Linked DNA regions of Canis lupus familiaris. The protein of the gene in region 1 purifies or fractionates together with the protein of each later gene. This does not show direct contact. Links are inferred from orthologs where the notes say so. Each region holds a gene or a part of one and is shown on either strand. Other genes may lie near its edges. The genes, in order: ATP2B4 and NPTN.

What was found.
Region 2: the proteins of ATP2B4 (region 1) and NPTN purify together in Homo sapiens (co-immunoprecipitation; 3 studies listed by BioGRID and IntAct, with this or other methods). This does not show direct contact. The link is inferred for Canis lupus familiaris from reciprocal best matches to the Homo sapiens genes ATP2B4 and NPTN.

The regions. Positions count from the first base shown.
Region 1 is NC_049259.1:979,703-990,647, reverse strand, and holds part of ATP2B4 (plasma membrane calcium-transporting ATPase 4), read right to left. Parts: intron 10,679-10,945; exon of another isoform or gene 10,634-10,678; intron 10,459-10,633; coding exon 10,423-10,458; intron 9,999-10,422; exon of another isoform or gene 9,805-9,998; intron 8,862-9,804; coding exon 8,700-8,861; intron 8,387-8,699; exon of another isoform or gene 8,159-8,386; intron 5,735-8,158; coding exon 5,520-5,734; intron 5,171-5,519; coding exon 4,928-5,170; intron 4,368-4,927; coding exon 4,126-4,367; intron 774-4,125; coding exon 542-773; intron 1-541. UniProt on the Homo sapiens protein: Calcium/calmodulin-regulated and magnesium-dependent enzyme that catalyzes the hydrolysis of ATP coupled with the transport of calcium out of the cell. By regulating sperm cell calcium homeostasis, may play a role in sperm motility.
Region 2 is NC_049251.1:37,293,076-37,304,020, reverse strand, and holds part of NPTN (neuroplastin), read left to right. Parts: intron 1-1,899; coding exon 1,900-2,033; intron 2,034-6,148; coding exon 6,149-6,422; intron 6,423-6,713; coding exon of another isoform or gene 6,714-6,730; exon of another isoform or gene 6,731-8,947; intron 8,948-10,945. UniProt on the Homo sapiens protein: Probable homophilic and heterophilic cell adhesion molecule involved in long term potentiation at hippocampal excitatory synapses through activation of p38MAPK. May also regulate neurite outgrowth by activating the FGFR1 signaling pathway.

The DNA.
Region 1 (10,945 bases):
TCCCTGGCCCATACTCCAACCAATCCATTCTTTATAGTCTCCTATGCCCTTGGGCCTTGACAACTAAAAGTCCACTAGTCTGAACTTATTATAAGCAGAGACCTTTTCAACGCCTTAGTTTCTAGATTACTGTTCAGCTATTCTAGGGGCAGTCAATAAGAATATGTTGATTGAAAGAAGGTGGCTAGAGGCAAAGTTGGTGTCCCAGTTAACTCTGACTGTTCTTAGGTACCCAATAATAAGCTCAATACAACCTATGTTTCTCACCCCTCAGACAGCATTCACTGTCAGAATGCCAGCTTCTATCAGCTCAGCACTCCACAGTGGTTTGGGAAGCAGAAGGCACAGAAACATCTATCCCTGTACATGAGAAGCTGTTGGGTAACGTGCCTGGGGTCACAGCTAAACATGGAACTAGTACCTCCGTTCCCTTCTATGGGGGGACTACCCCCTACATCATGCTCGGCTGGCATGTGGGCCAGAGGCTGTTGGAAGACTTCCATTCATGTTCTCCTACCCTTTTGCCAAGCCAAAGCCTCACCTCTGGGCGCACAGGGTCCTCAATGCCCACCACTGCGATACACGTCAGTTCAGTGAGGATTTCACTCTCATTGTCCCATGGGGGCTCGCCATCATTGAAATCCCGGTAAGCGATGCAGAGAGTTCGGAGTCCCTGAGAGGCCATGGGCTCGATGACAGTGCGGACCATCTCATCGCGGTCCTTATTCTTGAATGGAACCACTTCCCCTCTCTTGTCCAGGATTCGATTACACCTGGGGAGGCACACAGTCAGGAAGCAGCAACCCTTTCCCACCCCAGATGTCTCTACACTCATTTGCAGACATTCTGGCAATCCTGCATTACTCGTAAAGACAGCATTCTTGGGTAAGAAATCTCTGTTCATCATCCAGCCGAGTCCCTTTTCCCAAGGTGGGGTGATTTGTAGATGGATCAGGTCTAGGGAAGCCAAAGGTATGATTCTCCCATGTTGTCTGTTCCTACTCATATGTGAATGTGATGCCAAGAGTCATTTGTGGATTACCCCCTCTTTTGAACTTCTCAAAGGTGGAGAGACATTTTAAATTCCAGGTACGTGAATAGTACTAGAATGGTGCTCAGTGCATAGGGTGTGCTCCACAGGAATGGGTTGGTTGAAAGACGGTGGCTAAAGCCAAATAAAGGCCTGGTTAATTCTATAGCTACTGGCCCTGTACCTATGTCGGTCAGCCTATAATGACCCATGAACAGTCTAGCTACTTGATGAAGTTACTCAACTTCCTATAAGTGGAGTTGAGCATGAGAAGGAAAAAGGAACATAGAACTAACATTTGTTAGTACTTGCTATGTGCCTGGTATTTTACATACAGGCAAACCTTGTTTAATGACACTTTGCTTTATTGCACTTTGCAGGCATTGTTTGTTTATTTATTTATTTATTAACAAATTGAAGGTTTGTGGCGACCCTGAATCGAACGCTAATGACACCAATTTTCTAAAAGCATTTGCTCACTTCATGTCTCTGTGCCACCTTTTGGTAAGTTTTGCAATATTTTAAACTTTTTCATTATTATTGTATTTGTTACGGTGATCTGTGATGCTACTATTGTAATTGTCTGGGGACATTGCGAGTCACATGCATATAAGATGGCAAACTTAATTGATAATGTCATATGTGTTCTGACTGCTCCACTGCCTGGCTCTTTCCCGTTCTCTCCTCCTCTCCCCAGGCCTCCCCTCCCCTGAGAGACAACACTACTGGAGTTATGCCATTAATGCCCCTGCAATAGCCTCTAAGTGCTCAAGTGAAAGGAAGAGTCTCACATGTCTCACTTTAAACCAAAAGCTAGTAATGATTAAGCTTGGTGATGAAGGTGAGTCAAAAGCCAAGAGAGGCTGAAAGCTAGGCCTCTTTGCTCCCAATAGCCAAGCTCTGAATGCAAAGGAAACGTTCTTGAAGGAAATGAAAAGCATTTCTCCCATAAAACCAAACAGCCTTATTGCTGAATGGAGCAAGTTCGAGTGCTCTGGATAGAAGATGAAACCAGCCACAACATTCCCTTCAGCCAAAGCCTAATCCAGAGCAGGTCCCTAACTCTCCACAATCCTAGGAAGGCTGGGGGAGATGAAGACTCTGCAGAAAAAGTTTGAAACAGCAGAGACTGTGTCGTGAGGTTTAAGGAAAGAAGCTGTCTCTATGACATCAGAGTGTAAGGTGGAGCAGCAGGTGCTGATGTAGAAGCTATAGCAAGTGATTCAGAAGGTCTGGCTGGGATCATTAATGAACGTGGCTACACTAAATAACAGATTTTCAGTGTAGATCAAACAGCCTCATACTGGAAGAAGATGGCATCCAGGACTTTGACAGCTGGAGAGAAGTCAGTGCCCGGCTTCAGAGTTCCACAGGAAAGGCTGACTTGCTTGTTAGGGGCTCATGTAGCTGGTGACTTTAAATGGAAGCCAATGCTCATTTATCATTCTGAAAATCCCAGGGCCCTTTAGAATCATGTTGAATCTACTCTGTCTGTGCTCTATAAATGGAACAAGAAAGTCTGGATGACAGCACATCTGTTTATAATATGATTTACTGAATATTTTAAGCCCACCACTGAGAGCTACTGCTCAGAAAAAAGATTCCTTTCAAAATATGACTGCTCGCTGACAATGCACCTGATCACCCAAGAGCTTTGATGGAGCTGTCCAATGAGATTCACATTGTTTTCATGCCTGCTAACACAGCACTCATTCTGCAGCATATGAATCAGGGCGTTAAGACTTCTTATTTAAGAAATACATTTTGGTAAGGCTATAGCTGCCAGAGATAGAGATTCCTCCGATGGATCTGGGCAAAGTCAATTGGAAACCTTCTGGAAAGGACTCACCAGCCTAAATGCCATAAAGAACGTTCATGATTTATGGGAAGGGGCCAAAATAGCAACACTAATAGCAGTTTGGAAGAAGTTGATTCCAACCCTCATGGATGACTCTGACCCTCACCGTTCAGGACTTCAGGTGAGGCAGTAAGTGCAGGGAGGGTGGAAGCAGTGAGAGAACTACAGTTAGCAGCGTAGCCTGAAGATGGGACTGAATGGCTGCGATCTCATGATAAAACTTGAACAGATGAGGTGTTGCTTCTTGCAGATGAGCAAAGAAAATGATTTCTTGAGATGGAAACTACTCGATGAAGATGCTGTGAAGACTGTTGAAATGACAAGAGAGGATTTAGAATAGTACATAAACTTAGTTGATAAAGCAGCAGCAGGGTTTGAGGGGAAATGACTCCAATTTTGAAAGAAGTTTCACTGTGGGTAAAATGCTATCAAACGGCATCTCATGCTACGGAGAAATCATTCACGGAAAGAGTCAAACGATGCGGCATACTTCATTGTCCTGTTTTAAGAAACTGCCATAACTGCCTCAGCCTTCAGCACCCACTGCCCCAATCAACCAGCAGCCACTTACATCAAGGCAGACCCTCTACCAGCAAAAAGGTCTGATGATCGTTAAAGCTCAGGTGATGGTGACTATTTTCTTGGCAATAAAATATTTCTAAAGTAAGGTATGTACATTGTATTTTTATACAAAATGCTGTTGCACACTTAATAGACTACAGCCTAGTATAGCTATGAGGTTTATATGCACTGCGGAACAAAAAAAGACTCATCTGCTCCACTTCATTGGGGCAGTCTAGAACTGAACTCACAACAGCCCTGAGGTGCACCAACGTGCGACGAATCACCTAATCATAGTAACCCCGAGGGTATTCCTTGGGTTTCAGATTAGAAGATGGAAGCTTGGATTGTCAAGTTCTGAATCCTGGCTGCACCACTATGAGCTGTATCACCTTGAGCAAGTACTTCACTTCTCGTACGTCTGTTTTCTCATCTGTAGAACAGGTGTGCTAATAGCATCTACTGCACTGGGTTGTGCAGATTAAGTAGAATGGGCCCCCCGAGGCACTCAAAAGCAAGCCTCAGCCTGATTCAATGCTCAGATATTAGTGATGATGTCACCCACCGGAAAGGGGGCTCACTGACCCTTTGGATGGGTTTAGCACGGTGCATGTCACCCAGACCTTCCCACGGGGAGGACCGGGAAGGGAAGAGAAGTGGGGGAAGGGAGGCTCACTTGCGCAAGATGATCTCAGAGGCGCCCTTGCTGTACATGCGGTAGCCCCCGCTGGGCTTCTCGATGACTGTGCTCATTGACTTGCGCACAGAGTTGAAAGTGTACACCTTGTAGAGCTTCTCCTCGGGCACCTCGTTGCGCACGGCATGGTAATCCTGCTTCAGGTCAGTGACGAAGCCCAGGAGAGCACACTCGGTCTTGTTGCCCACCTGCCGCGGGAGACCTCCCTCCTTCTCTGGAGGCTGAGAGAAAAATTGTATGTGCTGTTGAGTACCATGCTTCTACTAGGGAGAACTTGGGAGGAAAGAACACCCCTACAAAATGTTCACATATGTCCCCGGCGCCCATGTGGGGATAGCATTTATCTCTTTCCCAAGGGTAAGCAGATAGTGGTCAGTGGTGACTGTGATTCCTAAGCCATCCAGGGCTTAGGGATGTTCTAGTTTGCCCTGGGGATGGTGCTGGTATCTCACCCCATGTGGGTCTCATTTGAATACCGTCCCTTAGTTTCTAGAAAGTATGGAATTTATTCCTGATAAACCCATCTCTCCTAGGGATACTGCCATCATATGGTGATTGGTGGGCATTTCATAGATCTGGATTTCTACCTGCCTCCCTATCCCCCACTCTGCTCCCATGAATCAATCCCCAGTCATCCCAAACATGTTCACCGAGGAGTAGGACATGGGATGTGCAGTGGCAATTCAGGCAGGATAAACAAGAGAACATTTCTCTGTCCAGAGAAAAGGAATTGTCCCCTCCAACCACCCATTCTAAGTGTCTAGGCAAAGGAGGAGCTTACCAGAATCTTGGAGGTATAGGCACTGTTGATAGAAATACCATTGACAATAAGGTCCAGGACCTTGGGCACAAGGACATCAGGGCTTGGGAGTTGATGGTAATGAGTGTCTCCAATATATGCCTGTACCACAGTCATGCGGTTCATGGTCAACGTGCCGGTCTTATCAGAGCAGATGGCTGTGGCATTGCCCATTGTCTCACAAGCATCCAGGTGCCGCACCAAGTTATTGTCTTTCATCATTTTCTACAAAGGAGATGAGGATAGACTTGAGGGGGGACCGACTGAGCTCTGCCAAATATATGTCAAAGGCCATTTTTTGCCAACATGTCTCCGCATCTCATCCTCTTGTCTGCACAAAAATGCAGGGTACTATTTTTGTGAATCGTCCTCAGATTCTACTGGGTTACCTAAACCTTGATGCAACGGATCAAGATGGTCCTTTTCATCTCCAAGGATGCCAATGGCTTCTGCTCTTGTGAGGCGCCACTCAATCTGTGCAGATCGTATGGCCTATCCTTTCACTGAAGGCTATGTGGCACCCTCCCCTCCCATCTCAGTCCTAAAAGAAGAGACAGCACTATTCCAGTCTCACCTTCACAGAGTAGGCCAGTGAGATGGTGACAGCCAGTGGCAGCCCCTCTGGCACAGCCACCACTAGCACAGTGATGCCAATGATGAAGAACTTGACAAAGTACTGGATGTAGATGGGGGTGCACTCCGATAGCCACGGTCTGCGGTGTATCACAAAGTTGTCAATCACAAAGTACAGGATCAGGATGAGAACTGTGATGGCAGACATGATGAGACCTGTCCAGGAAACACATCACATGAGCCCAGGCTCAAAGGCCTCCCTGGGGCCCTGGCCAGAAGGGGGCTGGCATAAAGTGTAGCCTTTGCTACCAATGTTTATTTCTTTATTTATTTTATTTTTATTTATTTTATTATTATTTTTGCTACCAATGTTTAAAACCACCATCTCCAGTCACCCCCAAATCCCCCACCCATTCTCTCTTGCTTGTACATTATCATGTAAGGGAAAAAAAATGCTGGCTTCATCTTCTATGGACACAGGTTCCAGTTTCTGTACTGCACTAACTTGACTCGTGGCTTTGGACTAGTCTTGGTTTCTCTCTGGACCTGTTTCCTCATTCATAAATAAGGAGTTGGTCTAGTTTTCTAAAATAGAAATTTTGTGATTCTCAGACCTACCCTCTTGTCACAATTCAGAATGTAGTGACTGTATTTGCCTATTTCCTAGTAGTTTATCAATTTGGGCTTCTCCCCTAGCAGATGGGAACTGTTGGGTTCCCAATTTACGACTTGTTTACAGTGATACCGCTATGGTGTCAGCCCATCACCTACATGGCTAACCTTTAGCACGGTGCTTCCTGACCTTTCTCTTTACATGGCATAGGCAGAGAATGACAATAATTTACATGTTTACAATAAGCAAAGATGTCTATAGTTACTATATAGGCCAGGCAAGCACTTCACATATAATAACTGATTTAATTCTCACAAAAACCCTGTGAGATAAGTTAGTATTATCATCCCCTTTCATGAGTAGATTGAGGCACAGAGAGTTTTTTAAAGAAGATCAAAACACAATTAGGATTTAAAAATTTTTAATCTTATTTCTTTTCATCATGGTAAGTGTATTCTTTTTTAAAAAAATTTATTTATTTAATTATTTATTTGACAGAGAGCCAGAGACAGCCAGAGAGTGGGGGGAAGCAGCAGGCAGAGGGAGTGGGAGAAGCAGGCTCCCCCTGAGCAGGGAGCCTGATGCAGGGCTTGATCCCAGGACCCTGGGATCATGACCTGGGCTGAAGGCAGACACCTAACTGACTGAGCCACCCAGGCACCCTAATAAGTGTATTCTTTAATCTCCATCACCTATTTCACCCATCCCTATACCCACCTCCCCCCACAGAGGGATTTTTGGAAAACCAGGGTACCAACTATTCTGGTTTGCCTGAGACTGAGCAGCTTCTTGGGACTCTCAGCGGTAAAATCAAGAGCGCCCCAAGCGAGCTGGGACAAGTTGGTCGTCCTACACACTGATGCAAATGGAAGAAGTTTTTCAAGGTCAGAAAGCAACTGGCTTAGGGGTTCCAACTGCCCTGGGTGCTGCCTGGCCACCCTGAAGGCTGAGGGGATCAATGTCTGGGCAACTGTACCAGATTATCTGGGGCATAATATCTGGGAAGAGCTTTGCTTCAAACCATAGTCTGGTTTGGGTCTTTGCTTTTCCTGAGGGCCTAATGATTCAAAAGAATCAGAGCAAGGCCAGAGGTGATTATATCAGTAAAAGCATATTCTTCTGAATTTTGCTTCATCAGGGTCAGGGCTGAGGTCAGGCAAACAAAGTGCCTAGTGTCCGAAATTTAAAGAAGCACTCCCCCCCGACGGTGGTACAACGCACCCTACTTGCCTCACCCCCAACTGGCCTAGCTTGAAACGTAAACCAAAACGAGAGGAGACCAGGGGCCAGCCATCAGGTAGCTTGTACTCCCTAAAGCAGGGATTGGAGGACGACAGGAGGGGGGTGGGTGGGGTCTATTCAATGTTTCACACCTGTGTGCCAGGCTTAGCCACTTGATTCCACACCTGCAGTTCATGTCCCCCGTGTACCCTTGATATGCCAGAGATTTCATGGTGGTCACCGTAAGCGAGGTACTAGAACTGAATGAACATGCTAGACTAATGCTGTCCATCGGAACTCTCTGTGATGCTTCAAACATCCTCAGTTTGCTCTGTCCAATAAGGAAGCTGCTAGCTACGCGTGGTTATGGACCAGCTCAAACAAGGCTGATGTCACTGGGGAGCTGAATGTTTCCTTGTATTTAATCGTAATTCATTTAAGGGGAAACAGCCACACATGGTTAGTGGCTACCGTAATGCCTTTTTACAGATCCTTGTCACCCGGTGTGTGGTTCATGGATCAGTGGCACTGGCGTCGCTTGGAGGCTAGTTAGAAATGCAGCACCTTGGGCCCCACCCTGGACCTCCTCAATCAGAATCTGTACTTTAACAAGATCCCAGGTGAACTGTCTGCACAGAATGTACCAGACTAGACTGATGGCAGTCAGCGGAGGGGCTGGCCCAGAAGAAAATTAAACAGTGGTACCAGGTGGCCCCTTGGAAGAAATGTCCAGGGAAGGAGCAATCTTCCTTTTGTTTCTTCCTCCAACCCCTGTTCCTAGCACCCCCAAGAGAGGAGAATGTAGAGGCAGGGGCCGGAGAAGCCACTTCCCCTCACCATACACAAGAGTGCCGTTAGCAACCCCTCCTCTGGAAAAAGCCTCTCTAAAGCATGATCTTCCTGTTTCTTCTAGTCCTTATTTTGAATGTACTGTGCTGTGCCAGCTAGGTGCTAGCGCCATGCTAGGGAATTACTGCTGGCAAACGGGAGCCTTCTCTACCCTTATGGAGCTTACGAGCCAATACAGGAAACAGGTGAGCGGTCGTCCAAGTCTTCCTTCTTGCTAAGGTGAATCTCCCCTGGGTGACAGTTCTTTATTACCCTTCTGTTTGGAGGGAAGGGGCCGTGGGGTCTTTAACCCTGGCACACAGGGGCACACTTCTCTCTGAAAAGACCCAGGGAGTGGCCAGAGGGTGGCAGAGAGAGGGGCATGGTCACCTCGGCTGCACCAGCCCCCTGGGAAGGTTCAGCTCTTTTCGCCAGCCCAGCTGGGACAGAAGGCAGGCAGCCAAAGCGGCGAGGACCCAGCAGAGTAGCATGGATAGCAAGAGGCACTGCCCTACTCACCGGCTTTCCCAATCTGAACGGCCAAGCGTGTCAGCTTGCCCTGCAGCACCGACTTCTCCTTTTTGGGCAGCTTGGCCGCCTTTTTCTCCTTTTCCTCATTGTCGATCCCCTCCTGGCTGTTGAGTGGCTGGATTTCCAGGGCCACTCCATCCTGAGTCTTTGCTAGGGTGTGCACACAAATAGGACAGGTGAGTGGGCAAGGGGGTATCACTGAGTAGCAGGCATGTGAGGACCCAAACTCTTCTGTCTCCTTCCTGGAATCCACCTGGGACCCCCAGCATCAGCTCCAACCACTCTCACCCCTGCCAGGCAAGGAGCATGCCTTCCACCCTCTACTAGGGCCTTTACAATGATATTCTGACAACTAGGGATGAAACGGGAGTACTTTTAGGTTATGGATTTCCTCTTCGGTGGCAGCTTCCTGGCACCACCTCAGAGCCCCAAGCCAGGTTTATTCCAGCAAGAGGATTAGTCATGCCACTAAGTGCTATTACCAACAGCCATCCTTCCTGGAATTCAGTGCTTAAAATAGTGAATCTTTGCTGCAGAAAGGGGCTGATGGGGAAGGCTGGTAGATGTTTCCAGAGCATAAGCATCCTAGTCTGCTGTTAAAAAGTTCATCTCTCTCTCCCTATAGACTGTCAGGGAAGAAACAGTCCCCCAAACAGTATTTTTCAGTTCCTCCTTTTATATCAGTTCAACGACTGGGGAAGGAAATGCCCTCTCTCCCCTGTCTGATGAAGGTTGGGGAGGTACAGAGTGGGGAGGTAGAGGGTTGTCTTTTGGGGGAGAGGGAAGAAGCTGGTAGGAGGGGCCGTCTGGAATAAGAGGGATAAAGACAGACATATAAATCCACTTGGTTTTCAAAAGAAGAGTTAAAGAGACCTAAAATTAAAGACTTCTTTCTGTGGAGCCCTGGTTCTCCAATGTGATGACTTTATTCCTAAAGACTCCTATGACATGGGTACAAAGAAAAAAATCTCCAGTAGCTGTCTCAAGAGAGCAGTTCTCCCTGGTTCCCAGCCCCCTTCCAGCCTCACCCCTGCGGAGCTCGGCCCCTCTGGCTTGGGAAGGGCACTTCCTGAGATACTGTCTCTGTTGTCAGACTCACAAACAAGACAGAGACGGGATGTAGACACAGCCACCAAAAAAAGAAACACACACCAGATCGGGAGGAAGAAGACAGACGGTGAAAACAAAGAGGGGTGAGGAGAGGTACAGAGGACGGGCTCTGTCCGAGCACCCCAAGAAGACTAGCAGAGAAGGAATCCAGACCAGAAGAGGACACCGATGAGGAAGGTAGCAAGAGGAGGGTGCAGGGACTGCCCACCCCAACTCCCTCTACCGTCAGGACCCTGACATCTTCTAGGCCTGAAACGGGGGTACCGGTACCGTGGGTGTTTAAATCCGGCCTAGGGCAGTGAAGCAGGGAGTTCAGTGCCCCCTGGGGAAGAGCAGATCAATCCCACGCACTCCCCAAGAGAAATCTTGATGGGAGGGTCTGTGAGACAACAGCAGGGGGTGCTGTTGTGCTGTCTTCGATGGGGATCAGGATCTGGAGACCACCCCTAAAATCTCTGCACCTTCCTCAGGATGAGGCATCTGGGCCCCAGCAGCAGATAACAGATTTATGGAGAGGAAAAGGGAGAAGGCAGATGGCCTGGAAAGGTCTGGTTTGAGTGTAGGCAGGTAGAGATGGTAAATGAGTGGGTGGAAAGGTTACCTTTGTTGCGATTTTCAGGGACTCCTTGTTTTTTACCTGTTTGAACAAGAAAGAAAAAAGTGGGGTGGAGACCCAAGGTGACTATTAAGAGATCAGGTTTCCAATCTGTTGGTCCTGCTCAGAGCCCAGAAGGGCCACAGCAAAGGGGTGGAGGGGCAGGGAAGGCCATGTAAAGGAAGTTCACGTCTCCGCTCATGTCCATGCTTTCTAGGGGCTCTTGGACTCTGCGATGTGGACCAGACCAATTTATGCGGGTGAGTGCACACCCGCACCTGGACTACTCTCTCCCAGGGCCCAGCCGCTGCTGGGAGGCTGCTCCTGGCTTGAGTCACATCACTTGGAGAAATGGGGTAGGGGTTAGAGAGTGAGAGGTTGGAACTGGTTCTACCTGATGGCAAAGGCCCTGAAAGGCATCTTTGTGTCACTTCTCCAGCACCAGGCCAGCTTCCTCTTTACTCATCTGCAGGTAGCCAGAAAAACCTATAGTCTAGTTCCCAAGGGAATGTGTCTGGTTTCCTTTTGA
Region 2 (10,945 bases), on another chromosome or scaffold:
ACTGAGTTTCAGCCAAACTCCTCCATGCTGTTCCTTGTCCATAATAAGCACAGCTCTGCCTCACGGCTTTTTTGTCTTTTATTTGGAGTATTCTTCCCACAGATATAGGAGTGTGCTACTCCCTTATTTTCTTCATGACTGTGCTAAAATCCACCTCAACAGAAAGACCTTCCCCCCACCACTCTATGATGTATCTGGCATGTGGTAGGTGCTCAACAAATGTTTGTCAGATGCATGAAACACAACTTGAAGCAAAATGTGGTAACTCCTCTGCTTGTTATGTCTTCCCGTGATGGTGTTTTAGTTAGTGTACTGCCATGGAGCTTGCTCCTTGGAATACTTAAGATGGTCTTTACTATTTATTGCATGAAGAAAGCTCTGAGGAGGGGGGAGCAGGTGGTGGAACAGTAGGTCTGAGCAGTGACCAAGTGGCTTTGGGAGAAATCGGGTGTGGTAGGAATAATATTGAGCCAGCTGGCCTACTCCCTTCTGCAGTGAGGAAGTTTGCCTGGAAAAAAAAAAAAAAAAAAGACATTTCCTGTATAACATCCTCTTTTGAAAACCCCTCACACTGAGTAGTACTGAGCAGGCGTCAGTTGGGTAGGCAGTGGTTATAAAGACAGCTCGGGACCTCCATTTCTGTCCGGGTGCCTCTGGAGGTGGGCAGGGAGGCACAGTCTGAAAGCGGCAGAACTTTGGATCATTTTTTAAGCCAAGAAAAACCAGGCTTTTAGAGGGGGAACATGGGGTAAGCCCATGATACAATACTCTATTGTACAGGCTTCTGTGATCTCAAGATGAAATGTTTTAAAACTTCCCTATCCAAGGGCACTGGATGTAGACAGGGGCCAGAATTACCTTCATTTGGTAATGGCTGTAGAACCGAAGCATGGAACGATTAAAGAACAAGCAAAACTAGAATCTGGACCAGGCTTCTTGATTCTCTTTCCTGTCTTGGCCAAGAAAGTGACATCTGGCCTACTCTGCGTTGTAGCTTTCACATTACTATAACCAGTGAGGAGTATGGTGGAAAGTATCGTTAGGATCAAAGGAGACTAAATTCAAAGCATTATCTCCATCTCTGATTTCTTAGATCCTTGAAACTTACCTGATTTTTACACCACAGGTGCTATTTCTTTGTAAGTGATCCTGTAACGCAGAGAAGACCAGCAACGTCTAGCATATCTAGAAATTCCCCCAAGATTGGGTTTATTGAGATTACTGCAAATCAGGTGTACAGGTCAGATTCTTAAACTGTTAAATCTCTTAGGACACTGGTTGAATTTCCTATTTATTCCTTTCTTACCCCTTCTGAAGGCCAGTTTGCTGGATTACCTCTTTCCCAGAAGAACCTTGCTCATTGATGCGCATCAGATAGCTTCTCCATGCATTGATTGTTTTTACATACCTTGCAATGGGACTTGATTCTAGGTGTTTGATTTCAGGGCTCTCCCATTTCCTTAAAGGAATATAGGACATTTGATAGAATCCATAATTGCTATTACTGCAGTTTGAAAAAAAACCAAAAACCTATGACTGGAAAAGGAGATGATAATAGCTTCTGTGTGCATTTTTTTTTTTTTAAGAATGTTTTAATTTAGGGCAGTTGAGCCTGTGTCCCCTCTTCCAAGAGGTTAGAGAACCCACCTACATTGTTAGTACAATTTCACATAATGGTAATCCTGGTATCTGCTTGGGCTGCTTTGTTGGGTGGGAGGTAGAGAATAGATTGGTTCCATTGCTCAGTTCTGACCTGAAGTGCATGTTGTCAAAGATTTTTTGAGGATAGGCCTAGAGACTGGCTGTATTAGAAGCAGAGCTCTGAGTCAGTAGGTGGGACCTTTGTAATCCTATTCAGAGTCCGCTCTTGTGGTAACTGTTCAACACTCTTTCTTACAGCTGCTCCTGACATTACTGGCCACAAACGGAGCGAGAACAAAAATGAAGGGCAAGATGCCATGATGTATTGCAAGTCAGTTGGCTACCCACACCCAGAGTGGATATGGCGCAAGAAGGAGAATGGTATGCCCGTGGTGAGTAGGAGGCAGCCCTGATTCTCTCCCTGGGTCTCTGGTTGCTGGAGTTTCTCCTGGGAGGTCCAGACATCTGGACCTGCCAGTTGCTGCATCCTGCCATACTGGCATGGCTTAGGGTCACCCGTTCTAGTCATAAATGGTTACATGATAAATCTGGAAGTCACTGACAGTCTCCGTCCAGCATGGAATCCCTACATGATTTGTTAAAAGCTGGCTGTTTGCTAAGGGATTAGACTGATTTGCCTTCAAGGAGACTGAAGGAGTTTAACCCCAATCTTAAACATTTTTTTTTTATTTTAGTCCATTTGTCCTAAAGAAAATATTTTCTTGAAGTAGTTTTTTTTTTTTTTTAGTTTTGTTTTTGTTTTTTTTTTTTTGTTTTTTTTTTTGTTTTTTTTTTTTAATCTATTTATGATAGTCACAGAGAGAGAGAGAGGCAGAGACACAGGCAGAGGGAGAAGCAGGCTCCATGCACCGGGAGCCCGATGTGGGATTCGATCCCGGGTCTCCAGGATCGCGCCCTGGGCCAAAGGCAGGCGCCAAACCGCTGCGCCACCCAGGGATCCCTTGAAGTAGTTTTAATACACCTTTCTTGTTTTGGAGAAAGACAAGGCAATGAGAACAATTTAGTACATCCCTGGAACACAGGGAGTACTGATTGGGAATTGAGGCAACATGGTAAAGCGCAAGGGCAGTCTTGAACATTGGAAATCCGATAGTATCTGCTCCCAAAGATGTTTAAAAAAAAAAAAAAAAAAAAAAACTTTTCTAATTGGCCGGGTGATTTTTTTTTTTTTTTAAGATTTTATTTATTCAAAAGAGAAAGCCAAAGAGAGAGAGTGTACAAGTAGGTGAGGGGCAGAGGGAGAAGCAGACTCCCTGCTGAGCAGGGAGCCCCACTCAGAGCTCGATCCCAGGACCAGGATCATGACCTGAGCCAAGTGTAGACACTTAATGGACTGAGCCACCCAGGTGCCCCAAGGGATCTACTTTTACTGAACCTCTCTGTTTTCCCGCTTAGCTCCAGCCACAGATTATTTTCACTGCTGGGGTCTGCTCACTCAGAAGGCAGCCCTGTTAGGTAGAGGAAACCAAACTTGAACATTATGGCTCTTCAAATAGTGGGAATATAGTCTCTGCGTTCTCACCTCCAAACAGCCCTTTTCCAAGATTGAGAGGCATATGGCACATCATTTGGTTTCCTGCCTATCCACTGGAAAAAGATGGTTTGTTCTTGGCACCCCCAGTCTTTGAGTGATTCTCTTTTGGTGCCTGTTTCACTTGGCTGCAGGGTGAAAGGCTGCATGCAATGCCAAGTGCTTTTTTTTTTTTTTTTAAGAATGTTTTAATTTAGGGCAGTTGAGCCTTTAATAAAAATAACTCTTTTCCAATCACCTATCAGCCTGTCTTCTCTTTTATAGACGGGCAAGGGGTAATGTGATGACTTGGGGATAAGATAGCTTGATGGCGCTCCCTTTTAATAAGCCCTGGAAGGGCTATCTACTCCCAGTTTTGTTTGAACTTTTTATTTTTTTATTTTTTAAAGATTTTATTTATTTATTCATGAGAGGCACAGAGACACAGGCAGAGGGAGAAGCAGACTCCATGCAGGGAGCCCAATGTGGGACTTGATCCCGGGTCTCCAGGATCACGCCCTTGGCCAAAGGCGGCGCTAAACGGCTGAGCCACCGAGGCTAGCCTATTTGAACTTTTTAAAAAGAATAATGGGGTACATAATTTATGACAATAAATGTAAAAATTACAGTGGTACTAAATACAAAGTTTTCAGCATCCTCATTAAAAAGCAGAGAAATAAAATAACAAAATGTTGCTTAAAGATAATCTGCATATAACAATAGTACAGAAATATTAAAACATGATGGACAAAGATGTATATGGTGAAAGTATATAACATAGAACAAATGAAATATTAACATTACAGAAAGTGAAATTCAAATAAACATGAAACCAGAAGAGTTCCTTTTTATCACAGGAGGTGTAATCCAGGGGCAGCCCCACTGGCCCAGGACGTGATCTGGGAGACTGGGGATCGAGCCCCACATCGGGCTCCCTGCATGGAGCCTGCTTCTCCCTCTGCCTCTGCCTGTGTCTGTGCCTTTCTCTCTGTGTCTCTCATGAATAAATAAATAAAATCTTAAAAAAAAAAAAAAACAGGTGTAATCCACAATAAAGACAAAGCTGTCATGATCTTTTTATGCTACATAATACAGTTTCAAAATGAATGAAACAAAAACTGGAAAAATACGGAAATATAGCAAAAAAGCAGTTAAATGGTGGCAGACTGACAGATGAGATGGAGGGAAAATGAACAGCACTGTGGAAGACTTGATCATGTAATGAATAAGATAACACAGTCTTTCATACTGAAACCTAAATATCAGTCACTGTTAGTTATAAATATATGTGAAAACGTCCTAAGTACAAATTAATTTAATGGTATTTGAAAAGATACCCTTTAAAAATATTTATATATATTTAAAAGTTTTTACTACTGTATAGCTGACATATGATGTTACAGGAGTTTCAGGTGTATAACGTAGCGATGGACGATTCTGCACATAATGCAGTAGCCACCACCATTAAGCGCAGTCACCGTCTGTTACCATACATTGTTATTACAGTATTACGGACTCTCTTCCCTGTGCTGTACTTTCATCCAAGACTATGGGGTACTTTTGATGCTTCTCCTTAGTCATCAATTCTGTAGCAATAGGACAGGTCCCACTCACTATCTTATTATGCATTGATTAAAAAGGTTAAGGTTTCTTGCATATGATGGTGTTCAAAAACTACAGGTTAAAGGCTTGTGGAACAAAAAAAACTAATCCCTTCTGATCATAAGTGAAAAACATGGGCTTAGTGAACCAGTAGAGCAGGGGTTAGAGAAGCTGGCAGCTTTCTAAGTCCTCGAGTTGAAGCTTCAGGGAATAATTTATTTTGAAGGCTTGATTTGCCATTTCAGCCATACCCACACTCAGTTGCAGGCACCACTGTTTGCTATAGTTAAACGTCATTATCTTCCCCTTTCTTCCCTATTTCTGATTATGCTTTAGCTGTTGCCTAACAACTGACACATGATTCCATTTTTGCCTGCCACTACCCCAGTGCTGTACGCTTGTCCCAGCTCCACCTCAACCCCTGCTTGTGTACTCTCCCCTCTGTCTTCCCACAAGAGCCTGGAGCACTCCTGTCCTGCTTGATCACCTCTCTTCCCCACCACCCAGGGCAAAAGCTGGCTTTTCTGTGAAGCTTTCCCTGAGTCTTTCTGGCACTGGCCACTCCCTCTGTGCCGCACAGTACTCAGTACGTGCCGTCTCTTGGGGCTTCTTGCCGTGTTCCTGTAACCATCCCTTTGGAGGTCTGGTTCCCTCTTAAGGCCAACCTCCTTGTTCACTTTTGTGTCATACTTTTCCCTTTCTGTCTCCCCTTCCCCTTAGTGGGATGTGAGACACGTAGCATACGTTAGTAAATAGCTATTGATTGACTGAATAAACTTTACTTTATCCTTCTGATTCTTTTTTTTTTTTTTTTTAATCCTTCTGATTCTTAAGAAAGAGAAGTTAGGAATTTGTCTACTCTGACTAGGAGCAAGTTCTTAGCATTCTTTCTGGAGGAGGTTTAAGACGACTTGTCAGGACTCACCAAGTGTGAAATAGATGTGCTAATTCTGAAGTCCTCAGATAGGCCTGAGATTAGCATATATGTCTGACTGCGGAGGTCACACCCCTCCTTCTCCATCTTCTTCCTGTGATGGTTTCTTCCCTTGTATTTGAAGTAGCATTTTCTAGATTGAGTTGGTCTTTTCTGAGGCTACAGGGTAGGACTTCCATTCACTTCATAGAAGTTGGAGAAGTCTAGAGGACACGGCAGGGGAGGCTTTAACCTGGCTCTGCCAGAAGCTTGCTGATGTGTTGTTGTTGTTATTGAAAGGAAGCCGGTAATGAAGTGCTCACAAGTTCCCTGGACAAAGATGGTCCTAGACACTGCTCCCTCATCCCAGCCAGTGGTCCTGCTAGGACCTTACCTTGTCTTGCACACGGATTCACCTACTCTGACCTTTGTGTGTTCTTACTTTTTCTGCCCCCGAGCAGGACATTGTCAATACCTCCGGCCGTTTCTTCATCATCAACAAGGAAAATTATACTGAGCTGAGCATCGTGAATCTCCAGATCACAGAAGACCCTGGCGAGTATGAATGTAATGCTACCAACTCTATTGGCTCTGCCTCCGTTGTCACCATCCTCAGGGTACGGAGCCACCTGGCCCCACTCTGGCCTTTTTTGGGAATTCTGGCTGAAATCATTATCCTTGTGGTGATCATTGTTGTGTATGAGAAGAGGAAGAGGCCGGATGAAGTTCCTGACGGTAAGAGCATCCCTACAAAATAGCTGTAATGTGGGGGTTGGTTCCTAGGGATGGTCTCCAAGTGCCCAAAAAGGACTCTGAGAGTGTTGGGGTTTGATCCCAAAAGGAGAAGAGAATTCTCATACTGGTTTCTCGTTTCCTACTGCTAAGATCAGCCATCTAGAGCTATCCTCAGCTCGGTCCCTCCATTTGGGTGTTTTCCAAGCCCCGGTCCCTTCTGCCCTTCAGCCCCCACATGGGGAATAGGCAGCCACCAGTCTCTTGGTTCAGCTCTGTCCTCCTTCGATACAGATCATCAGGCAGATTGAGCTTGAGGAGAATCCAGGTCAAGCCTAGAAGCCACCCCAAGATCGCAGGCCACCTGGCCTTGCAGGCAGATTTAAGGTATCTAATTGGTTGTCACATGGTTGCCGGGTAGAGCCCTTGTAGGTTACTGCCCCAACCCCTTCAGACCATTCTCGAGAAGAGCCATTGGAGCAAGCCAGCCTTTGGTTCCCTTGGTTGGTCCCTGTGATGGGTTTTCAAGGTTCTGGGTGAAACAGGCACCAAGCATTTGGCTTTTCTGTCCCACAAGAATGGTGGAGTCTGATGCATCCATCACCTCTAGTTTGAAGACCAAGACAGCTCAGCAGTAACACCTGGAGCCTGTGGCCCGAGTGGCACCCTCAGGCTGACTTAGGGCCAGAGGTGGAACTGGATAGGGACACCAGGACTACAGTGAAAACAAGTGTGGGAAAGAACAAGAATCTTAGATTTTTGGACATGTTTCAGTCAGGAAAGCCCTAGGAAATCTTTGTGGCGGGTGTTTTGCTTTGGGGGGGTTTTGGGTCATACACCATTTCTAACCCCAGGATTACAGTCGGGGGCAGCTGCTGCTGGAGACTCGTGTCAGTAGTACTTTGAGCTTCCTGACTAGCTCCGCCCCTTCCACCCGGTGACATTGCCATCAAGTTAATAGCCAGCCTGCGATTACCACCACTTGCTTGTCGCTCTGTGCGCCTAAGTCCAGTGGAGGCTGGCCTCAGGTGACGGTGAGGATGCCAACTGTGGCGCGACCGCCCTGGGCCTACGCTTGTGCGCTGTGGGTTCTGTGCCCTGCCCGCAGAGTAGCTGACCAGCAGGACTGCAGCCCCCATCAGGTGTGTCCGTGGAGCATTCCTGAGGGAGGTCCGGTGCTCCCTCGGAGGGCGTGCAGCCTTGCTGGTGGCTTCAGCCTCTCTGGAAGGCCGTGTTTGAGGGCAATGCCTCTTCCCGTTACGTCCTCTCTTCTCAGCGCCTCCAGAATCTCTCTGCCTGCCTGAGGTGGAAGAGAGCATTACAGTGAGGCCGGCGGTGACGTCTGTTGAAACTAGCAAGGCGCCTGGGAAGCCCGGGTCGCCCCTGCCCGCGCACGTCATCCGCACGTCATCCGCAGTGCTCCAGCGGAGGGGCGAGGGGACGGGCGAGGGGACGTCCGCTGGAAGCCAGCGGGCCTGCTCCCTGCACGAGCTGGTGTGCCTCCGGGACCTTACGTGCCTCCTCGTGGGGCCCCAGGACTGCTGTTCTGTGAGGTGAAGGGCGTTCTCGGATCCTCACATGCAGAATGCTTTTCCCTCTAGTTTTTCTCTTTCCTGCTACAAATTAGGATCCCAAGGCAGAATTCTTAGCTGTCGGCCTGCGAGTAAAGGGAGGTGGTGTGCATTTCCCTCTGGCTCTCCAGGAGCGGCTGTCCCGTTCTGCAGGGACTTGTCATCCCTTCAGAATGCGTTGGTTTTGCTGAACACCTTGCTCAGCCTTCCCTTTGGAAAGGTAGAGAAGCAAAAAGGGAAGAAAAGGCAAAGACGGGCTTTTGAACCTGATTTTTTATCATAAGATGAGGCTGCTGCCACTCCCTTGGCAGAGTGACCCTTTGGCTTAGCATGTTCCCCTCAGAGGTTCCAGTCTTCCTCGTAGGCAGCTGCTTTGTTCTCTTACGTGTGGAGACATTCGGGTTAGGTTTCAGAGGTGGTTGGTATTGGATCTGACAAGTGCAGACACCTGCCCGAGGAAGCAGCTCTTGTTTTTTAAGAGAGAGCGAGAACTCCATGGCTCTCGAACTCCAGGGGCCGCCAGTTAGGTAGTAGAGACCTGTGTGGTCAGCAAGTCTTCTGAATGGCTTCCCGAAGGGAAGGTACCTCTTTTAAGTGAAATTTTTATAGAAGCGGATGAATCCTACATAAAAGATGTGGGTAAGTGCAAAGTAAAATCTCCTTGCTCTGGTCTCTTGGAAGAACTGGAATGTAAGCAGCATTTACTTTTCTGTTGTTGAATTGGGGCGACAGACCTGGGACGCTGGGATTATCGCAGTGTTCGCCTCCTCTCCGCTCCCTTCCCGACAGCCAGCGTGCTCCAGGCTCCATTCTCCATCTCCACACCCCTGCCTTGCTCCAGCATTTCTGCCCCCGTTTTCTTTTTTGTCTCCCTCCTCCTCTCACCGCTTCCTACTCCTGTGCCCCCTTTATTTATTGTCCCCTTGGATTTAATCATTAAAGAAAAAAAAAAGCTGATTGTTCCTCAGTGAGTTTTCCTTATGCCGTGGCTTTTTTTCCCAGCCAGTTTCCCCTCAACCGCTCTACAGTCCATGTAAGACCAGCCCCCTCATGCTTTCTGCCCTCATACCCCTCCCCGAGGCTACATGTAGATAGAGGTATGCACTCCTTTGTGGGATGAATGAAGAGGTACCTTAGATCTGATACAAATTGGAGTTTTAGAGGTGATGGATTTTTATCAGATAACCATCTGTGGTACTGTTGACTTATTTATGCCATTGTGAAAATGGTGTTTTTTTTTTTTTTTTTTTTTTTTAATGTGCCTGACATGTTTTCTCTGCCAAAATAGGTACTTTATTATCAGGATAGACTTATGATTTATTTCTGACTCACTGAATTTTTTCTTATATGAAACTGTTTCATGTAAAACTCATAGTATTCCTATTTGGGCAGTCTGTGAGCTCTTGGTGACTCAGCCCCTCACCTCTTTAAATTGTTACTAAGTGAACAATTTAAACAATTTAAAACTATACACATGCACAAATTTGAACTTAGTGAGTTTAGTCTGAGTATGCTTCACCAGAAAAGCAAATATTGCTTTAAATTTCTCACATAGAAAATGCTTAGGGTTAAGGTTTAGTGGCTTCCAGGAGAAAAAACAAAAGAGTTCTTTCTCTTAGTTTACTAGAGTCTACTCAGGACATTTTATAAGCAAAACTCACACTAAGTCCCATTAAGGCACTACTGTGGTCTCACTGAGGATCAGTGCCCAATGGGTTGTCTTATAGGTAGATTATCTGCATGTCACCTTTTACCTTCAGTGTTTTCAGTAACAGATGAGTCAGAGTCAAATCAAAGACTTTTTTTCACCTTCGCTCTTGACTACATTCTCTGAAAATGTTAAATGATAATTCTTTTCTAAAAAGACTAGGTCCAGTCAGCATCCCCCTAGCCTTCCATCCATCTTACGGCTTTACATGATTGGAGCACACCTTCCTCCTTTGTTGGTTCTCTGCTGACTGAACCCAGAGAGGGATTCATGTGTGCTTCGGGTCTGTCCTCCCCAGTCATCTGGGAGATGGGGCCTTCCCTACTGGCCTCATTGTTGGGGCCTTCGATTCTACTGGACATTTTAGTGACCTCAGATGAAAACAACAGGACCTGATTTAAGAAAAGTGGTGGCATCAAAAAGAGTTTCTGTTTTCACATTAGGGGGGTAATTTTTATATGCAATTCAAAGGGACTTCTCAAGTTACTGGTGGAGAAGATAGCTGAGGTTTTAGGGGGACCATTTTTAGTGTCTCTGATACATTCAAACTCTTTTAGACACTCTACAAATAAGAGTTACTCTAATGTTCACAAAGTGTATTAGTTGGGAGCATATGAAGCTTATCAGCCGGCTAGGAGTGCTGGAAAAGAAATGTGACTTTTTTTTTTTTTTTTTTAAGATTATTTATTTATTTATTCATGAAAGAGAGAGGCAGAGACACAGGCAGAGGGAGAAGCGGGCTCCACATGGGGAGCCCGATGCGGGACTCAATCCTGGGGCTCCAGGATCATGCCCTGGGCCGAAGGCAAACACTCAACTACTGAGCCACCCAGGTGTCCCAAGAAATGTGACTTTTAAAATTAACATGCAAAACATGCCTGTCATTGTCTCCTAACCTAGGGGTCATCTGAGTCAGTGACAACTTACCTTACGGAGAAAATACAGTGGGACCAAAAATGAAAGGCAACTGGATGTAACCATTAATCTCTCTCTGGTTTAATGCGACTCTGCTGAGATCAGGCAAAATTGAAGCAGGTTTAGAAACTAGAAAACATAGTCCTCGGTGAGATGGAGGCAGTGAAAAAGGAGCTCTGACCACACAGTCAACCCTTGGTCACTCTGACTAGAAAGCCATCTTTTTGGAGGTGCTCCCGCACGGGGACCGCGTGGTTTCCTGGGCTTCGCAGGGCGCCCTTCCGGGTGAGGAGGCAGTGGGATGTAGGGGAGCGAAGGCCGTAGCGCATCTG